4 linked regions of the Saccharomyces cerevisiae S288C genome follow. The gene in region 1 interacts genetically with each later gene. Each region holds a gene or a part of one and is shown in the gene's direction. Other genes may lie near its edges.

Region 1 (4,927 bases):
GGGAAGAATCCAGCTGCATATCAAGAGGTGAACAGATACGTTAGTTTTCATTCCGTTGAAGACTCTCAGATAAATCAATTCTGTCAGTATTTGCTTGACACCTTAGTAAAAGTGAAAATAATCGATATCAGCAATGGGGAGTACAAATCTACAGCGTACGGAAATGCAATGACGCGACATTATATATCCTTTGAGTCGATGAAACAATTCATTAACGCAAAAAAATTTCTATCATTACAAGGGATACTAAATTTACTGGCCACTTCTGAAGAGTTTTCAGTTATGAGGGTGAGGCACAATGAAAAAAAATTGTTCAAAGAAATCAATTTATCGCCACTTTTGAAATATCCATTTTTAACCGAGAAGAAACAGAGCCAAATAATTGACAGGGTTAGTCAAAAGGTTTCTCTTTTGATTCAATATGAGTTAGGTGGGTTAGAATTTCCATCATACGAAGGCGCTTCTAAACTACATCAAACTCTTGTTCAGGATAAATTCCTCGTTTTTAGACATTGTTTTAGATTACTAAAATGCATGGTAGACACATTTATTGAAAAAAGTGATGGAACATCACTGAAAAATACTTTGTTCTTACTGCGAAGCCTGAATGGTCACTGCTGGGAAAACACGCCAATGGTTCTTAGGCAATTGAAAACAATTGGACTAGTTTCAGTAAGAAGGCTAATACGACATGGAATTACCAATCTAGAAGAAATGGGGCATTTGTCAGATACTCAGATTGAATACTATCTTAACCTCAAGATTGGAAACGGCATAAAAATTAAAAACGACATTTCTTTGTTGCCTTGTCTGAATATTAGAACAAAACTAGAAAATTGCAAAATAGAAAATGAAGAGTTGTGGTTGACATTTAAAGTTGAGATTAGTGCAACATTCAAGTCTAGCATTTGGCATGGTCAGCACCTCTCATTAGATATCGAAACCGAGAAAAGCTCAGGAGAGTTAATCGACTTTAGAAGATTGCAAGTTAACAAACTACAGTCACCAAGGGGCTTTAGAATTTCAGCAAAAATATCACCAAAACTAGAAAAAATAGAATTCTCAATTCATTGCCAAGAAATCGCCGGACTCGGCAAAACAATCGTATATTCCACTGATCATTTGGCATCACAGTTCTCTGCGAAGACACCAAATATAAGGAAAGATCTAAATAGTTTAGAAAAATGCCTCTTCTATGAAAGCAGTAGTGACGGAGAAGTGGGGAAAACGTCTAGGGTTTCCCATAAAGATGGATTAGAAGAATCGCTATCCTCAGATGATAGTATACTAGATTATTTGAATGAAAGGAAGAAATCATCAAAGGCGGTTGAATCTGCAGCAGTTATTCACCCGGAGGCACACTCTTCTTCACATTTTAGTAATGGCCGCCAAGTAAGATCTAATGGCAATTACGAGTGTTTTCATAGCTGCAAAGACAAAACGCAATGCAGACATTTATGTTGTAAAGAGGGTATTCCAGTAAAGTATATAAAAGAAAAAGGACCCTCCTCAATCAAGCCAGTATCAAAACCTGATCAAATACGCCAGCCACTGCTTGCAAAAAATATCAACACAACCCCTCACCTGGAAAAAAGACTGAATAGTAAACCAAAGCAGTGGCAAGAAGAAAATACAGATATTGCGACAGTTCATACACTTCCTTCAAAAATTTATAATCTATCGCAACAGATGTCGTCTATGGAAGCGGGTGAACAAGTCCTAAAATCAGGCCCCGAAAACTGCCCTGAAATAATTCCTATTGATCTTGAATCATCCGATAGTTATTCTAGTAATACAGCGGCGAGCTCAATAAGTGATCCGAATGGTGATCTGGATTTCTTGGGTTCCGATATAGAGTTTGAATGAGCGGCATGGCCGGGAACAATAGACATTACTGATATTCATTACCCCAATCCTTTCTGTTATTTGTATTGCTTCCCAACAGAAGTTAGCATGTGTGAGAGTTTACTTATAATGCTTTGTTTTTAAAATGCAGCCAGTGGTGAAACAATTGGAACCTTTACTATTTATTAGGGAACAAGATGACATTGTCAATTGATATATTACTATTGTTACATATCGTGCTATTTATCATTTCAATTATTAGTCACATGACCGCGATAAGCGATCCGGGTCAGAATGCCGAGATAGGATAACTTTGCCGGCGGAGTTCCTAGATCAATTGAAAGAATCGAAGTGAGATTAGTAATTCATTCATATGTACCTTTTAAAAAAGAAACTCACTCTTGGAAGTGTCCTTTACTAAGGATTGTTTTGAACGAAAAGTGTAGGCGTGCCACAAATGTCAACACTTAGCGATAGTGATACCGAGACTGAGGTCGTGTCGAGAAACTTGTGTGGAATCGTCGACATAGGTTCTAATGGTATTCGTTTTAGTATATCTTCCAAGGCTGCACATCATGCAAGAATTATGCCTTGTGTTTTTAAAGATAGGGTTGGTCTTTCTCTATACGAAGTTCAATATAATACACATACGAACGCAAAATGCCCTATTCCCAGAGATATTATAAAAGAGGTTTGTTCTGCCATGAAGAGATTCAAATTAATTTGCGATGATTTTGGTGTACCTGAAACTAGTGTCAGAGTAATTGCAACAGAAGCCACGCGAGATGCTATTAACGCGGATGAATTTGTTAATGCTGTTTACGGTAGCACTGGCTGGAAAGTAGAAATATTAGGCCAGGAAGATGAAACTAGGGTCGGCATATATGGTGTTGTTTCCTCATTTAATACAGTAAGAGGTCTATATCTAGATGTGGCAGGTGGTAGTACTCAGTTATCATGGGTAATAAGCTCGCACGGAGAAGTCAAGCAATCCAGCAAACCTGTATCTTTGCCATATGGAGCTGGAACTCTTTTGAGAAGAATGAGAACAGATGATAATAGGGCACTTTTTTATGAGATTAAAGAAGCGTACAAAGATGCGATTGAAAAAATTGGTATACCTCAAGAAATGATTGATGACGCCAAGAAAGAAGGTGGATTTGACCTTTGGACCCGTGGGGGTGGTTTAAGAGGTATGGGACATCTGCTTCTTTACCAGTCGGAAGGTTATCCCATCCAAACAATAATTAACGGATATGCTTGCACTTATGAAGAATTCTCGTCTATGTCAGATTATCTATTCCTAAAACAAAAAATACCAGGTTCTTCAAAAGAGCATAAAATATTTAAGGTTTCTGATAGAAGGGCTTTACAACTTCCTGCCGTTGGTTTGTTCATGAGTGCTGTTTTTGAAGCGATTCCCCAGATCAAAGCTGTACATTTTAGTGAGGGTGGTGTTCGAGAGGGTTCACTTTATTCTCTTCTTCCAAAAGAAATTCGTGCACAAGATCCATTGCTAATTGCGTCCCGTCCTTATGCTCCATTACTTACTGAAAAATATCTATATCTATTGAGAACATCAATCCCACAAGAAGATATACCAGAAATAGTAAACGAAAGGATTGCTCCTGCTTTATGTAACTTAGCATTTGTTCATGCCTCTTATCCAAAGGAGTTACAACCAACAGCTGCATTACATGTTGCTACAAGAGGGATAATAGCCGGCTGTCATGGATTATCTCACAGAGCTAGAGCGCTGATAGGAATTGCTCTATGTAGTAGATGGGGCGGCAACATTCCGGAATCTGAAGAAAAATACTCCCAAGAATTAGAACAAGTAGTTCTACGCGAAGGTGATAAAGCTGAAGCATTGAGAATTGTATGGTGGACGAAGTATATTGGTACGATTATGTATGTGATTTGCGGTGTTCATCCAGGTGGTAATATCAGAGATAACGTATTTGATTTCCATGTTTCTAAGCGTAGTGAGGTGGAGACCAGTTTAAAAGAATTAATCATTGATGATGCAAACACTACAAAGGTAAAAGAAGAATCCACGCGTAAAAATCGCGGGTATGAAGTGGTTGTGAGAATTAGTAAGGACGATCTTAAAACAAGTGCTTCCGTTCGTTCCAGAATTATCACGCTACAAAAGAAAGTACGCAAGCTATCTAGAGGAAGTGTAGAGAGGGTTAAAATTGGCGTGCAATTTTATGAAGAATAAAGACATCTAGTCTTTAAATACTTGAACAATAAATACGAAATCCTTATATAAGCATCTTTTACTACCAAAAAAATTTAAAATTAAGCAAGAGAAAAAAACGAGCAATTGTTAAAAGAAACTAAAATCATGTAGATTTCATAAATCGTCATATTCTTTGTCTATATAAATATTTATCGTCACGAATAAATCCCGTGAATTTCTAACAAAGTTTATACAATATCACAGTTGTAAAAGTAAGAAAAAAAAAGATCATAGAAAACATGTTCACATAAGTAGAAAAAGGGCACCTTCTTGTTGTTCAAACTTAATTTACAAATTAAGTTTAAGCACCGATGATACCAACGGACTTACCTTCAGCAATTCTTTTTTGGGCCAAAGCAGCAATAACAGCGGCACCAGCACCGGAACCATCTTCAGCAGGAACAATCTTGATTGGGTAGTCGTCTAGTGAGGTTTGAGTCCAGCCGTAAATGTCCTTCAAAGCATTGGCAGCCTTTTCTTTGAAACCTGGGTATCTGTTGTAAACGGAACCGTCTGCAGCGATGTGACCGGTCTTGTAACCTCTCTTTTGACAGATAGCAGCAATACCACAAACGGACAATCTAGCAGCTCTAGCACCAATCAATTCAGATAAACGTCTGATCAATTTACGTTCTTGAACAGTAGTGTTGATACCGAACTCATTTTGGAACAAGTCATCGGTATCTTCTAGGTTCTCGAATGGATCTTCCTCGATTCTGGCTGGGTAAGAAGTGTCCATGACGAAAGGCTTGTCGAACTTAGACAAGTCTTGGTTCTTGAAGATGAAACCTTGTTTGTACATGTCCATCAAGGCCAAACGCAAAATTTCACCTAAGT
Region 2 (4,493 bases), on another chromosome or scaffold:
CTGTTATCACAAAGATCCAGGTTTTCATTCAGCGATCCATTTTCCAATGATTCTCCTTTAAGCCAACAGCAATCTCAACAGCAGCAGCAACAGCCACAACAGCCACAACAACACTCTACGCAAAAACATTCACCACAACAATGTAATCAACAACAAGTGAATTCTTCAATACCGTTATCTTCTCAAGGCCAGGTTATTGGGTTACATTCTAACCATTCACATCAAGATTTGTCTGTGGAATCAACAATTCAAACATCTGATATTGGCAAATCTTTCCTTTTGAGAGATAACACTGAAATTAATGAAAAGATATGGGGCACAAGCGGTATACCTTCCAGCATCAACGGTTACATGAGCACTCCCCAACCTTCTACGCCAACTTTAGAATGGGGAAATACTTCTGCATCCCAACATGGTTCTTCGTTCTTTTTACCCTCTGCAGCATCGACAGCCATTGCACCTACGAATAGCAACACCAGTGCCAATGCAAACGCCAGCTCCAACAATGGAGCCAGCAATAATGGTGCTAACCAGGCACTCTCTGCCAGCTCGCAACAACCAATGATGCAAATTGGTAACACGATTAACACTTCCCTAACCTCTTCAAATTCATTGCCTCCATACGGTTTAATGTCTTCTCAATCGCAGCACATTTCAAATATGGTAAACACCTCTGATATGAACATTACACCTCAAAAACAGAACAGATTTATGCAACAACCCCAACCAGAGCATATGTATCCTGTGAATCAAAGTAACACTCCTCAAAAAGTACCGCCCGCAAGATTAAGTTCAAGTAGAAATTCACACAAGAATAACTCTACTACCTCATTATCCTCAAATATTACTGGATCTGCCTCGATTTCTCAGGCTGATTTGTCACTACTAGCCAGAATTCCACCTCCTGCCAACCCTGCTGATCAAAATCCACCTTGTAATACCCTTTATGTAGGGAATTTACCCTCCGACGCTACTGAGCAAGAACTAAGACAGCTATTTTCTGGTCAAGAAGGCTTCAGAAGACTATCATTCAGGAATAAGAATACCACATCTAATGGTCATAGTCACGGACCGATGTGCTTCGTTGAATTCGATGATGTCAGTTTTGCAACCAGAGCGTTAGCTGAATTGTATGGTAGACAGTTACCTCGCTCCACTGTGAGCAGTAAGGGAGGTATCAGATTAAGCTTTTCAAAAAACCCACTGGGTGTTAGGGGCCCAAACAGCAGAAGAGGAGGCAGTGGTAACCCAAATCCTAATGTAAATATGCTTTCCAGTTACAATTCTAATGTTGGTCATATAAAAAACTAAAAAAATGGTTCCGCAAAAACCTGATTTCCTTGCATGTATCACATTATATGCATTGCTTTTCATCTTTCCCCCACTATAATAAGAATAATATTTTCTGTCGCATTTTTTCTTTTTCTTTTATTATTTGTTATAATAATATTTTCTAAACCGACTAATAATAAGAATAACATCGATAATACTTTATCTCTTCAATTACGTTAAATTATCTTTTTACTATTACATTACAACGTGCATATAACAGAAATTTTTTCTTTTTCTGTCTAACATTTGAATTGTACTATGAATTAAACCCGCCATCTTTTTTCTTAACTACCATTTTGCGAACTCCTATACCGCTTCTGCAACAACAAGAACTTTTATTTTCAATTTTAATGTGCCATTCATTCCATTTTGCTTGCGCTAATGTGAATAAGATTGAGAGGGAAAAGTCTCACTATCGAATATCGCTCTTTAGTGTGATTATTGTCATCAAAGCACCAAGTGCTTAGGTGAGGTCATATCCGACAAATGTTTTGAAGAGAGAATATCTTTTTTTTATGCTGCCAACTTTTATTCTTTCCTTGTTTAAAAAACTCTGCCTTTGGATATTCTCCCACTATATATATGTATTAGCCTTACTTTTATTCCAGAACTCATTTTTATAGAAGTATATATCGGTATCGACTTCAATGTAATATTTTCAACCCTATGCTACAAGAGCAGATTAAAAAAATATGGGCTACCAGTGGCAAGAACATATTTGATATTTCGAAGTTCTACTTTGTTTATGACCGAACTGATCAATTTTATGAATGTCTTTCAATGGAATCTCAATACGGGTAATAACGTCATATTTCTTATTTTTCTTGGACAATTTGTCCAAAATAAAATTTTCACGACTTTTCTCCTTCAAGTACCGCGACTTCTGCGATAGTTGTCCGTTAGACATAATAATCATTAACGCATCCATAAGGTGCTTGCGGTCTGTATTTGACTTTCTTCACATTCTTACGCCTAGACTGAATGGGAAAACAACCAAGAAACCAAAAAGGAACCTGAGAACACAAAGAGTATTTGACGAAAAGTTACACTCACATAATGCATCACCAAACTAAGTTAGATGTATTCATAATCAGAGCTTATAATTTACTGTCTAACGAGTCTGTCATTAGTGGTGCTTCCTTGCAGAGTGTTACAAACTCGCCACAGACGACAACGAACACGCCCTCAGGTATGGTTAACGGGGCGGTTGGAACAGGGATAGCTAATCCAACAGGGTTGATGGGGTCTGATAGCACACCTAACATCGATGAGATTATAACTAGCACTGGTAGTAATGCTCTGACGAAAACCAACTCAGATAGCGCTAATGGTACGCCGAATGGTAATTCAAGTTCTACCTCAGCCATTAGCAATGCAAGCAATCCTGCCACTACTGGTAATAATGCGAGCTCTAGTGCCACCTCAAATGGAATATATACGCAAGCGCAATATTCTCAACTTTTCGCCAAAATATCAAAACTATATAACGCTACACTATCATCTGGGTCAATTGACGATAGATCAACATCACCAAAATCGGCAATCGAACTATATCAAAGATTTCAACAGATGATTAAGGAACTAGAGCTGAGTTTTGACGCAAGTCCTTACGCAAAATACTTCCGCCGGTTGGATGGAAGGCTTTGGCAAATAAAGACAGACTCAGAATTAGAAAACGATGAATTGTGGCGATTAGTCTCAATGAGCATATTTACAGTATTCGATCCTCAGACCGGCCAAATTCTAACTCAAGGACGCAGGAAGGGAAACTCCTTAAATACATCAACTAAAGGCTCCCCATCAGATTTACAGGGAATAAACAACGGGAACAATAATGGGAACAATGGTAATATTGGAAATGGGAGTAATATTAAGAACTATGGAAATAAAAACATGCCAAACAACCGAACGAAAAAAAGAGGCACCAGGGTGGCTAAAAATGCTAAAAATGGGAAAAACAATAAAAATAGTAATAAAGAGAGAAACGGCATTACAGATACGAGTGCATTCAGTAATACAACAATAAGCAACCCAGGTACCAATATGCTTTTTGATCCATCATTGTCTCAACAGTTACAAAAACGACTGCAAACGCTATCACAAGATGTCAATTCTCGTTCGTTGACAGGATATTATACACAGCCAACCAGTCCTGGCTCAGGAGGATTTGAATTTGGTTTGAGTCATGCAGATCTGAACCCCAATGCTTCCAGTAATACCATGGGCTATAATACAATGTCCAATAATGGATCCCATTCGTGGAAACGAAGGTCACTGGGATCGTTAGATGTTAATACGCTGGATGACGAAGCGGTGGAAGAACTTTTGCAACTGACAAATACGAGTAAGAGGCAGAGGCCGATGACAACTGCAGCAGAGGGTGCGTTAATAAATGATGGTCCGGACACTAATTTAAACGCGAATAACACCCAAATGAAAGTTGATTTAAATCCTTCAAACAGCATGGGACCTATAGATACAGAAGCCGTGATACGCCCATTGAAAGAAGCTTATGACGCAATCATTTCTGAAAAAGGCCAAAGAATTGTGCAATTAGAAAGAGAATTGGAATTACAGCGCCAAGAGACGCAGTGGTTAAGGAAAATGTTAATTGAAGACATGGGTTGTGTTAGAAGTATGTTAAGGGATTTACAAAGATGACACGATAATAATGTTTAACATATATTGCTTTCTCTTTTAATTTTCTGGTGTAGATTGGCGGTATAATTAACTATTTAACAGTGACGTTTACTATCTTACTGTTTCTTGTACTCTTTTATAATGAACAGACGTTATTATATAACTACGAACTAATGATAATTCTTTTTACGTTATTCCTGATGTAAAGGATACAAAATGGGTTTCTTTATTTTGCAGCAGAACCGTAAAATTTACGCTACTTTTACCGTGGGTCCTCTTATTTGATTGTTTCCGTCGCTACGAGCGAACAAGGGGTGGAGACAATAGGGATGGTGAATATATACACATACGTTCATATATAAGAAAAAAACTCAAGAAGAATATCAAACGACCAGGATCCTTGCTTATATTATTGTCTGTTGCTGGGCCAACACATATTTTCATTTCAACACACCAATCTCAGGTATTAAAGAGAAATCATTGTAAGGTAAAAATGTCTACGTTGAAAGTTGTTTCATCAA
Region 3 (3,766 bases), on another chromosome or scaffold:
TTATGATCCAACTACCAATTATTCGTCCACCACAACGTTAAGGCGTCTATTAGAAAATCATGAAGAACTAAATCTGCTACGTAAAGGAGAGGATGAACCGTTATGCAAAGGTTTTCAGGAGCTGAAGATAACATTTCCACCGACATACAAATTCAAGTTGTTTGAAAAGGAAACATATAATACAAAAAGAATCCCGTCGTGGTGCGATAGGATTCTCTACAAAAGCTATGCAGTGCCAACTTTCGCACAAGAAGGTACTTACCATTCCGTCCCTAGGTCCAATGCTCTATTATTTAGCGATCATCAACCCGTTAATCTTACCGTAAGATTACCAAGGTCTACAGGGACGCCAGTGCCGTTATCCTTACATATCGAAAAGTATCCTTTATCATGGAGCTCTGGCCTGATTGGACAAATTGGTGACGCAGTCATCGGGTACTGCGGTTGGCTAGTTACTAAGAATGTACATTATTGGATATTAGGTTCTTTACTATTATATTTACTATTAAAAATCCTGTAAAGTGATCTGGGCTGTCAGGCTAGAAGTTTTTCATTTATGTCTGAAACAGATAACGTCAGTTGTACCACTATCTTTGGTTTTATTCTTTTTATTTTCTCTTCCATATATCTTTACAGAACTTAAGTAATAATGAAAAAGAATGAAAAAAAAAAAAAAAAAAGAAAAACTAGTCAAAATTATTGCCATGAAAAAACAGGAAGAAGAGAGAGAAGAACATTAAAAAAAAAACTATCAATATTAGATTAACAAACCAATCAAAATGGAGGACTCTAATAATGAAGCCAGCGATGACTTCAACAACTTATTAAACAAAGAAATTGAGTCTGCAAAGGAAGTGAAGTTAAGAAAATTCGCGAACAGGAATAATAATAGGAACGAAAACAGTTCCAAAGTCAAAGATGCGAGTGGATTCAGACTGAGAGTTATTCAAACCGATGGGCACAAAACTAAAAAGACAGACCCTGATTATGAAGTGACAATTGATGGACCCTTAAGGAAGATTGAGCCTTATTTTTTCACTTATAAAACTTTCTGTAAGGAGAGGTGGAGAGATCGTAAGTTGGTGGATGTATTCGTGAGCGAATTCAGGGATCGAGAGCCCAGCTATTATTCCAAAACCATTGCAGAGGGAAAAGTATACTTAAACGATGAACCTGCAAACCTTGATACCATCATTCGTGACGGTGATCTGATCACACATAAAGTACATCGACATGAACCGCCAGTCACATCTAAACCAATAGATATTGTGTTTGAAGACGAAGATATCCTTGTCATTGATAAACCCAGCAGTATTCCAGTGCACCCAACGGGCAGATACAGATTCAATACCATTACAAAAATGCTAGAAAGACAGCTAGGTTATTCAGTACATCCATGTAATAGACTAGACAAGCCAACTAGTGGACTAATGTTTTTAGCCAAGACTCCATTAGGTGCAGATAGAATGGGAGACCAAATGAAAGCGAGGGAAGTCACCAAAGAATACGTAGCCCGCGTGAAGGGCGAGTTCCCTATAGGTATAGTAGAGGTAGATAAGCCTGTCAGATCTGTTAACCCTAAAGTTGCACTAAACGCTGTTTGCGAGATGAGCGATGAAAACGCTAAACATGCCAAGACCGTTTTCCAAAGGGTTAGCTATGATGGACAGACGAGTATTGTAAAGTGTAAACCATTGACAGGTAGAACTCACCAAATAAGAGTCCATTTGCAGTACTTGGGATTTCCCATAGCAAATGACCCTATATACTCGAACCCAGATATCTGGGGTCCAGATTTGGGCCGCGGTGGACTTCAAAACTATGATGACATCGTTCTGAAACTAGACGCTATTGGCAAGACTAATCCTGCAGAGAGCTGGATTCATCCTCATAGCGAGGGTGAATACTTGCTTGGCCGTCAGTGCGAAGAATGCGAGGCTGAAATGTACACAGATCCCGGTACTAATGATCTCGACCTCTGGCTGCATGCCTTCCGGTACGAGTCATTGGAAAGAAATTCGGATACGCAAAAACCTCTCTGGAGTTATAGAACAAAATACCCTGAATGGGCCTTAGAGCCACATCGCCGATATATGGAAATGGCCGTTAAGGAAGCTGGTAAGTGTGGCCCGACAAAGACTGCTTTTAGTGTTGGTGCCGTTCTTGTTCATGGAACTCAAGTACTTGCCACAGGATATTCAAGAGAGCTACCAGGAAACACTCATGCAGAACAGTGTGCTTTGATAAAGTACTCGCAGTTACACCCGAACTGTCCCACTATAGTCCCTATGGGAACAGTGCTCTATACAACCATGGAACCCTGTTCCTTCAGGCTAAGTGGCAATGAGCCTTGCTGCGATAGAATCCTGGCCACCCAAGGTGCCATTGGTACTGTCTTCGTGGGGGTTATGGAGCCCGATACATTTGTTAAAAACAATACAAGTTTGAACAAGCTGGAATCGCACGGTGTGAACTACATACAAATACCAGGCTACGAGGAGGAGTGCACCATCATTGCCTTCAAAGGCCACGATAATAGTGACGACAAAGCTTAGACTATTTAGCATATATATTATCATGTAATCTTACATCATATCTACAATAACCACTCATTACTGGAAACGGAAAAAGGCGCCACCGAAAATTTTGAGTAAAAAGAATGGAATTAACTTCAACCACAACACAGACAAAAAACACTAGATAGTGAACCAAAAGAAAGCACAACACCAAACATGAGCAGCATTCCAGCTGGCACTGATCCTGGGTCCTGCGGTGCTAATTTCAAGAATGACCGCAAGCGCAGAGATAAGATCAACGACCGTATTCAAGAACTATTGAGTATCATTCCCAAAGACTTCTTTAGAGATTATTACGGCAATTCTGGTAGCAATGACACGTTAAGTGAATCCACTCCCGGTGCGCTTGGGTTGTCCAGCAAGGCCAAAGGTACAGGGACCAAGGACGGAAAGCCCAACAAGGGCCAAATTCTCACACAGGCGGTAGAGTACATATCACATCTACAAAATCAAGTGGACACACAGAACAGAGAGGAGGTGGAACTGATGGTGAAGGCCACTCAGTTGGCCAAGCAGACAGGCACCATTGTCAACGATATAAACTTAGAGAACACCAGCGCTGAAGTCGCCCTGTCCAGGATTGGCGTGGGACCGCTGGCCGCAACAAATGATGACTCAGTAAGACCGCCAGCAAAGAGGTTGAGCTCCTTCGAGTACGGAGGGTATGGTGAGTACGGTAATGGTAGCTAAAAGTACTTCTGACTCTCACTATTGCTATGTTGTGATAACCCTCGTTGGTAGTGATACGAACACTTCTCTTCTTTTTTGTTGTTTTTGTGAGAAAAAAAAATCTAAATGAACATATTGCTAATGCAACGGATAGTTAGTTTTATTTTGGTGGTTAGTCAAGGGCGATACTTTCATGTTGGAGAGCTGACCATGACAATGTTGAAAAGACCTCAAGAAGAAGAGTCAGATAATAATGCTACGAAGAAGCTGAAAACGAGATTAACGTACCCTTGTATCCTCGGGAAGGATAAGGTGACGGGCAAATTCATCTTTCCTGCAATCACTAAAGATGATGTTATGAATGCAAGACTGTTTTTGAAGGACAACGATTTGAAAACTTTTTTAGAATATTTTTTGCCAGTGGAAGTCAACTCGATCTACATTTATTTCATGATAAAATTGCTGGGATTCGACGTCAAAGATAAAGAACTATTTATGGCGTTAAACTCTAATATCACTTC
Region 4 (5,800 bases), on another chromosome or scaffold:
TTCTAAGAGGGAAGTAGATGATTTGGTTGAAAATTTGGATGTCTCTCAGTGGAAGTTTATCTCTAAAGCAATTCAAAACTTATATCCAAATGATATCGCCCAGAGGAATGAAATGTTGATTAAATTGGGAGACAGGTTAAAGGAAAATGGTCATAGACAAGATTCTTTGACTTTGTACTTGGCTGCCGGATCATTAGATAAGGTGGCTTCAATTTGGTTATCAGAATTTCCAGATTTGGAGGATAAATTGAAGAAAGATAATAAGACAATTTATGAAGCTCATTCCGAATGTCTAACTGAGTTCATTGAAAGATTCACCGTATTTTCCAACTTCATTAATGGAAGCTCTACCATTAATAATGAGCAATTAATTGCCAAATTTTTGGAATTTATCAACTTAACTACTTCCACAGGAAATTTCGAACTAGCCACTGAATTCTTAAATAGTTTACCAAGTGACAATGAAGAGGTTAAAACAGAAAAGGCACGTGTCTTGATTGCTTCCGGCAAATCATTACCGGCACAAAATCCTGCGACAGCGACGACCAGCAAAGCCAAGTATACAAACGCCAAGACAAATAAGAACGTTCCTGTACTACCAACTCCTGGAATGCCTTCTACTACTTCTATTCCTAGTATGCAGGCACCATTTTATGGTATGACACCAGGCGCCTCTGCAAATGCTCTACCTCCAAAGCCGTACGTTCCAGCAACCACCACTAGTGCTCCTGTTCATACAGAAGGTAAATATGCGCCACCAAGCCAACCTTCGATGGCGTCACCTTTTGTTAACAAAACAAATAGCTCGACCAGATTGAATTCTTTTGCTCCTCCGCCTAACCCATATGCCACTGCAACAGTTCCTGCAACGAACGTATCTACAACGTCGATTCCGCAAAACACTTTTGCTCCTATACAACCTGGTATGCCTATTATGGGCGACTATAATGCTCAATCTAGCTCTATTCCTTCACAACCTCCAATTAATGCTGTATCGGGTCAAACGCCACATCTCAACCGTAAAGCCAATGATGGTTGGAATGATTTGCCTTTGAAGGTCAAAGAAAAACCATCTCGTGCCAAGGCTGTATCTGTTGCCCCTCCAAATATCCTATCGACACCAACTCCATTAAATGGTATCCCTGCAAATGCTGCTAGTACCATGCCTCCGCCACCTCTTTCCAGAGCTCCCTCTTCTGTGTCAATGGTATCACCACCTCCTCTACACAAAAATTCTAGAGTCCCATCCTTGGTTGCAACTTCTGAGTCACCAAGGGCATCCATATCAAATCCATACGCTCCTCCTCAATCATCACAACAATTCCCAATAGGTACTATTTCTACAGCAAACCAAACGTCAAACACCGCTCAGGTAGCTTCATCGAACCCCTATGCTCCACCACCACAACAAAGAGTAGCAACCCCATTATCTGGAGGCGTGCCTCCAGCTCCGTTGCCAAAGGCCTCTAATCCATATGCTCCAACTGCAACCACTCAACCCAACGGTTCCTCCTATCCTCCAACCGGTCCGTATACTAATAACCATACCATGACCTCTCCTCCTCCCGTTTTTAACAAACCTCCCACTGGCCCCCCTCCGATTAGCATGAAGAAGAGAAGCAACAAGTTAGCTAGTATAGAACAAAACCCATCTCAAGGTGCTACTTATCCTCCAACCCTTTCCAGCTCGGCCTCTCCATTGCAGCCTTCTCAACCGCCAACTTTGGCTTCTCAGGTTAATACCTCCGCTGAGAATGTCAGTCATGAAATTCCAGCTGATCAACAACCCATTGTCGACTTCTTGAAAGAAGAACTGGCTCGCGTAACACCATTGACCCCAAAGGAGTACTCCAAACAATTAAAGGATTGTGATAAACGATTAAAGATTCTTTTCTACCATTTGGAAAAGCAGGATTTATTAACCCAACCAACAATCGATTGTTTACATGACCTCGTCGCATTAATGAAGGAAAAGAAATACAAAGAAGCTATGGTCATCCATGCTAATATCGCTACAAACCATGCTCAAGAGGGTGGTAACTGGCTGACAGGAGTGAAGAGGTTGATTGGCATAGCTGAAGCGACTTTGAATTAATTCAGTCTCAAAACTTTCAGTACAAAAAGTGGCGTATTGGCCTTGTTTTTTTCTTATTATGTCTTATAGTATTATATTTATATATTTATGTACTTATCCTTTTATGTTTAAACCTAATCAAGATCACAATTAGAACTAGCTTAACATTACTTCTCAAAACCAACCAATACCTCTTATATCTTTTTTACAGCCTTTCCCTTATGTTTTTACCATGTACACCTCGAGCGGCAAATCTCCGGGGAAATTTTAAACTTGCCGCATCGCACATTCTAAAGAACAAAAGGAGGAGGAACTGTCAATTATTCTATAATCTGGGGAAATTCAGTCATACTGAGAAAAACTAGACAATAGTCCTATCCTCGGCAAATTGCATTGATAGTACTTACACATCGAGAGATCATAGGACAGATAAGAAGCATTTTATTGAAGAAAAACAGAGAGAGTCACTATAAGTTGACCTCACTATAGAAATTAAAACAGAAAAGTTTTACTGAGGACCTTTTTAAACAGAAGGATATGCCTTTGTTGGCATAGAAAGAAGAATTTATAAATGGATCCTAATAGTAACAGTTCTAGCGAAACATTACGCCAAGAGAAACAGGGTTTCCTAGACAAAGCTCTTCAGAGGGTGAAGGGCATAGCACTGCGACGAAACAATAGTAACAAAGATCATACAACAGATGATACGACAGGTAGCATACGAACCCCTACGAGCTTGCAGCGGCAAAATTCTGACAGGCAATCTAATATGACATCCGTGTTTACGGATGACATTTCTACCATAGACGACAACTCAATTTTATTTTCAGAGCCTCCTCAGAAACAATCTATGATGATGTCTATATGCGTAGGTGTTTTTGTTGCAGTTGGCGGATTTTTATTTGGTTATGATACAGGTCTGATCAACAGTATTACATCTATGAACTATGTGAAGTCACACGTAGCACCTAATCACGATTCATTTACCGCCCAACAAATGTCCATTTTGGTGTCATTTTTGTCATTGGGAACTTTTTTTGGGGCTTTAACTGCACCATTTATATCTGATTCGTATGGCAGGAAGCCTACTATCATTTTCAGTACAATTTTCATCTTCTCTATCGGAAATTCTTTACAGGTAGGTGCTGGAGGAATCACATTATTGATTGTGGGAAGGGTCATTTCAGGTATCGGTATAGGCGCAATTTCAGCGGTTGTTCCATTATACCAAGCAGAAGCTACACATAAATCATTAAGAGGTGCTATTATTTCTACTTACCAATGGGCCATTACCTGGGGCTTGCTCGTGTCAAGTGCAGTGTCGCAAGGGACACACGCAAGAAACGACGCATCTTCGTATCGGATTCCCATAGGGTTGCAATATGTCTGGTCGTCATTTCTCGCTATCGGGATGTTCTTTCTCCCTGAGAGTCCACGCTATTACGTTTTGAAAGACAAGCTAGATGAAGCAGCTAAATCTTTATCGTTTTTAAGAGGTGTACCAGTCCATGATTCTGGGTTACTGGAAGAACTAGTTGAAATAAAGGCAACATATGATTACGAGGCATCTTTTGGTTCTTCGAACTTCATTGATTGTTTTATTTCAAGTAAAAGTAGACCAAAGCAAACTCTAAGGATGTTTACGGGAATTGCCCTTCAAGCATTTCAACAATTTTCAGGTATCAACTTTATATTTTACTACGGTGTCAATTTCTTCAATAAGACAGGAGTCAGTAATAGTTATCTGGTTTCATTTATAACCTATGCTGTTAATGTTGTCTTTAATGTTCCTGGTTTGTTTTTTGTGGAATTTTTTGGTAGACGTAAGGTGCTGGTTGTTGGGGGTGTTATCATGACTATAGCCAACTTTATTGTGGCCATTGTTGGGTGTTCCTTAAAGACTGTAGCGGCCGCAAAAGTTATGATAGCATTTATATGTCTATTCATAGCTGCCTTTTCTGCTACATGGGGTGGTGTTGTTTGGGTTATTTCAGCAGAACTGTACCCATTGGGTGTGAGATCTAAATGTACGGCTATATGCGCTGCTGCTAACTGGCTTGTAAACTTTATTTGTGCTTTAATTACCCCTTATATTGTAGATACTGGGTCGCATACATCATCATTAGGTGCAAAAATATTCTTCATTTGGGGCTCCTTAAATGCGATGGGGGTGATAGTTGTTTACTTGACCGTTTATGAAACGAAGGGTTTGACATTAGAAGAGATTGATGAATTATATATTAAGTCATCCACTGGTGTCGTGTCACCAAAATTTAATAAAGATATTAGGGAACGCGCACTTAAATTCCAATACGATCCTTTGCAAAGATTAGAAGACGGAAAGAACACTTTTGTTGCTAAAAGAAATAATTTTGACGATGAAACACCAAGAAATGATTTTCGAAATACGATATCGGGCGAAATAGATCATAGTCCCAATCAAAAAGAAGTTCATTCTATCCCAGAACGTGTTGATATTCCTACTAGTACAGAAATTCTTGAAAGCCCGAACAAAAGTAGTGGTATGACAGTCCCTGTGTCACCTTCTCTGCAAGACGTTCCAATCCCGCAAACAACAGAGCCTGCTGAAATTCGAACCAAATATGTGGACCTAGGAAATGGGCTTGGTCTTAATACGTATAATAGAGGGCCTCCCTCACTCTCAAGCGACTCAAGCGAAGATTACACAGAAGATGAAATAGGCGGGCCCTCATCTCAAGGCGACCAAAGTAATAGAAGTACTATGAATGATATTAATGATTATATGGCACGTCTCATTCACAGTACTTCTACTGCAAGTAACACGACAGATAAGTTCTCCGGTAACCAAAGTACCCTTCGTTACCACACGGCTTCCTCACATTCGGATACAACTGAAGAGGACAGCAATTTGATGGACCTGGGAAACGGGCTTGCCTTGAATGCTTATAACAGAGGTCCACCTTCAATTTTAATGAATTCCAGTGATGAAGAGGCAAATGGTGGTGAGACGTCTGATAATTTGAACACAGCTCAAGACTTGGCTGGTATGAAGGAACGAATGGCGCAGTTTGCGCAGAGCTATATTGACAAGAGAGGCGGTCTGGAACCTGAAACTCAATCTAATATTTTGAGCACTTCTCTCTCCGTGATGGCTGACACTAATGAACATAATAATGAAATCCTCCACTCAAGCGAAGAAAACGCCACTAATCAACCTGTAAATGAAAATAATGATTTGAAATAATTAATTTAATGTTATTCGATGTATTAATTAAGCGGACGTGCATTATAATTTTAATCATGTGAAAGAAATAATTGTAACTTGAGATACTACTCAACTTTTATAGATACACAATGTTTATCTTGACACACATTCAATTACATTACTTGATTTAATGCCTTTCCAAAATTATGATCTTTTCTTCTATAACACTTTTGGATACTTAGCCGCCGACGGATACCATCTTCGGTCAACGTCGGAAGTCATTATAAACGAAAAGGTTTCCCAATAGAAAAGTCCTGCAGGAGCCACGTATAACACTGGCTTGAATTATCAACAACTCTCGAAGGCGCTGGAAGAGAATTTTTACGCAAGTTAGTATTCGCATAACATTAGTTGGCAAATTACACAATTTTTTGATACAATATATATACATATATTTTCCCCATTGTTTTTCTTAGATGCCCACGATGATCAAAAAGGATGATAAAGCAATGGAGCCCCCTAATGAAAAACCGCATAGA

The links.
Region 2: mutations in RTG2 (region 1) and GCR2 together harm fitness more than expected from each alone (negative genetic interaction), as found in Saccharomyces cerevisiae (3 studies listed by BioGRID).
Region 3: mutations in RTG2 (region 1) and RTG1 together harm fitness less than expected from each alone (positive genetic interaction), as found in Saccharomyces cerevisiae (4 studies listed by BioGRID, with this or other methods).
Region 4: mutations in RTG2 (region 1) and SNF3 together harm fitness more than expected from each alone (negative genetic interaction), as found in Saccharomyces cerevisiae (3 studies listed by BioGRID, with this or other methods).

Annotation. Positions count from the first base shown.
Region 1 is NC_001139.9:24,860-29,786, reverse strand, and holds RTG2 (Rtg2p), read left to right. Parts: upstream 1-2,302; coding exon 2,303-4,069; downstream 4,070-4,927. Other genes in the region: HFM1 (DNA helicase), read left to right, coding at 1-1,866; HXK2 (hexokinase 2), read right to left, coding at 4,392-4,927. UniProt on the Saccharomyces cerevisiae protein: Required for a novel path of interorganelle communication between mitochondria, peroxisomes and the nucleus, thereby maintaining a functional metabolic interaction between the tricarboxylic acid and glyoxylate cycles.
Region 2 is NC_001146.8:264,426-268,918, reverse strand, and holds GCR2 (Gcr2p), read left to right. Parts: upstream 1-2,388; coding exon 2,389-3,993; downstream 3,994-4,493. Other genes in the region: mRNA-binding protein WHI3, read left to right, coding at 1-1,311; NNR1 (NADHX epimerase), read left to right, coding at 4,466-4,493. UniProt on the Saccharomyces cerevisiae protein: Transcriptional activator required for the expression of glycolytic genes. Enhances the CT box-dependent transcriptional activation of a RAP1-GCR1 complex. Required for GCR1 phosphorylation.
Region 3 is NC_001147.6:201,485-205,250, reverse strand, and holds RTG1 (Rtg1p), read left to right. Parts: upstream 1-2,732; coding exon 2,733-3,266; downstream 3,267-3,766. Other genes in the region: phosphoinositide 5-phosphatase INP54, read left to right, coding at 1-520; bifunctional DRAP deaminase/tRNA pseudouridine synthase RIB2, read left to right, coding at 780-2,555; histone deacetylase HST1, read left to right, coding at 3,372-3,766. UniProt on the Saccharomyces cerevisiae protein: Required for a novel path of interorganelle communication between mitochondria, peroxisomes and the nucleus, thereby maintaining a functional metabolic interaction between the tricarboxylic acid and glyoxylate cycles.
Region 4 is NC_001136.10:108,935-114,734, forward strand, and holds SNF3 (glucose sensor), read left to right. Parts: upstream 1-2,645; coding exon 2,646-5,300; downstream 5,301-5,800. Other genes in the region: SEC31 (Sec31p), read left to right, coding at 1-2,095; NUS1 (ditrans,polycis-polyprenyl diphosphate synthase), read left to right, coding at 5,738-5,800.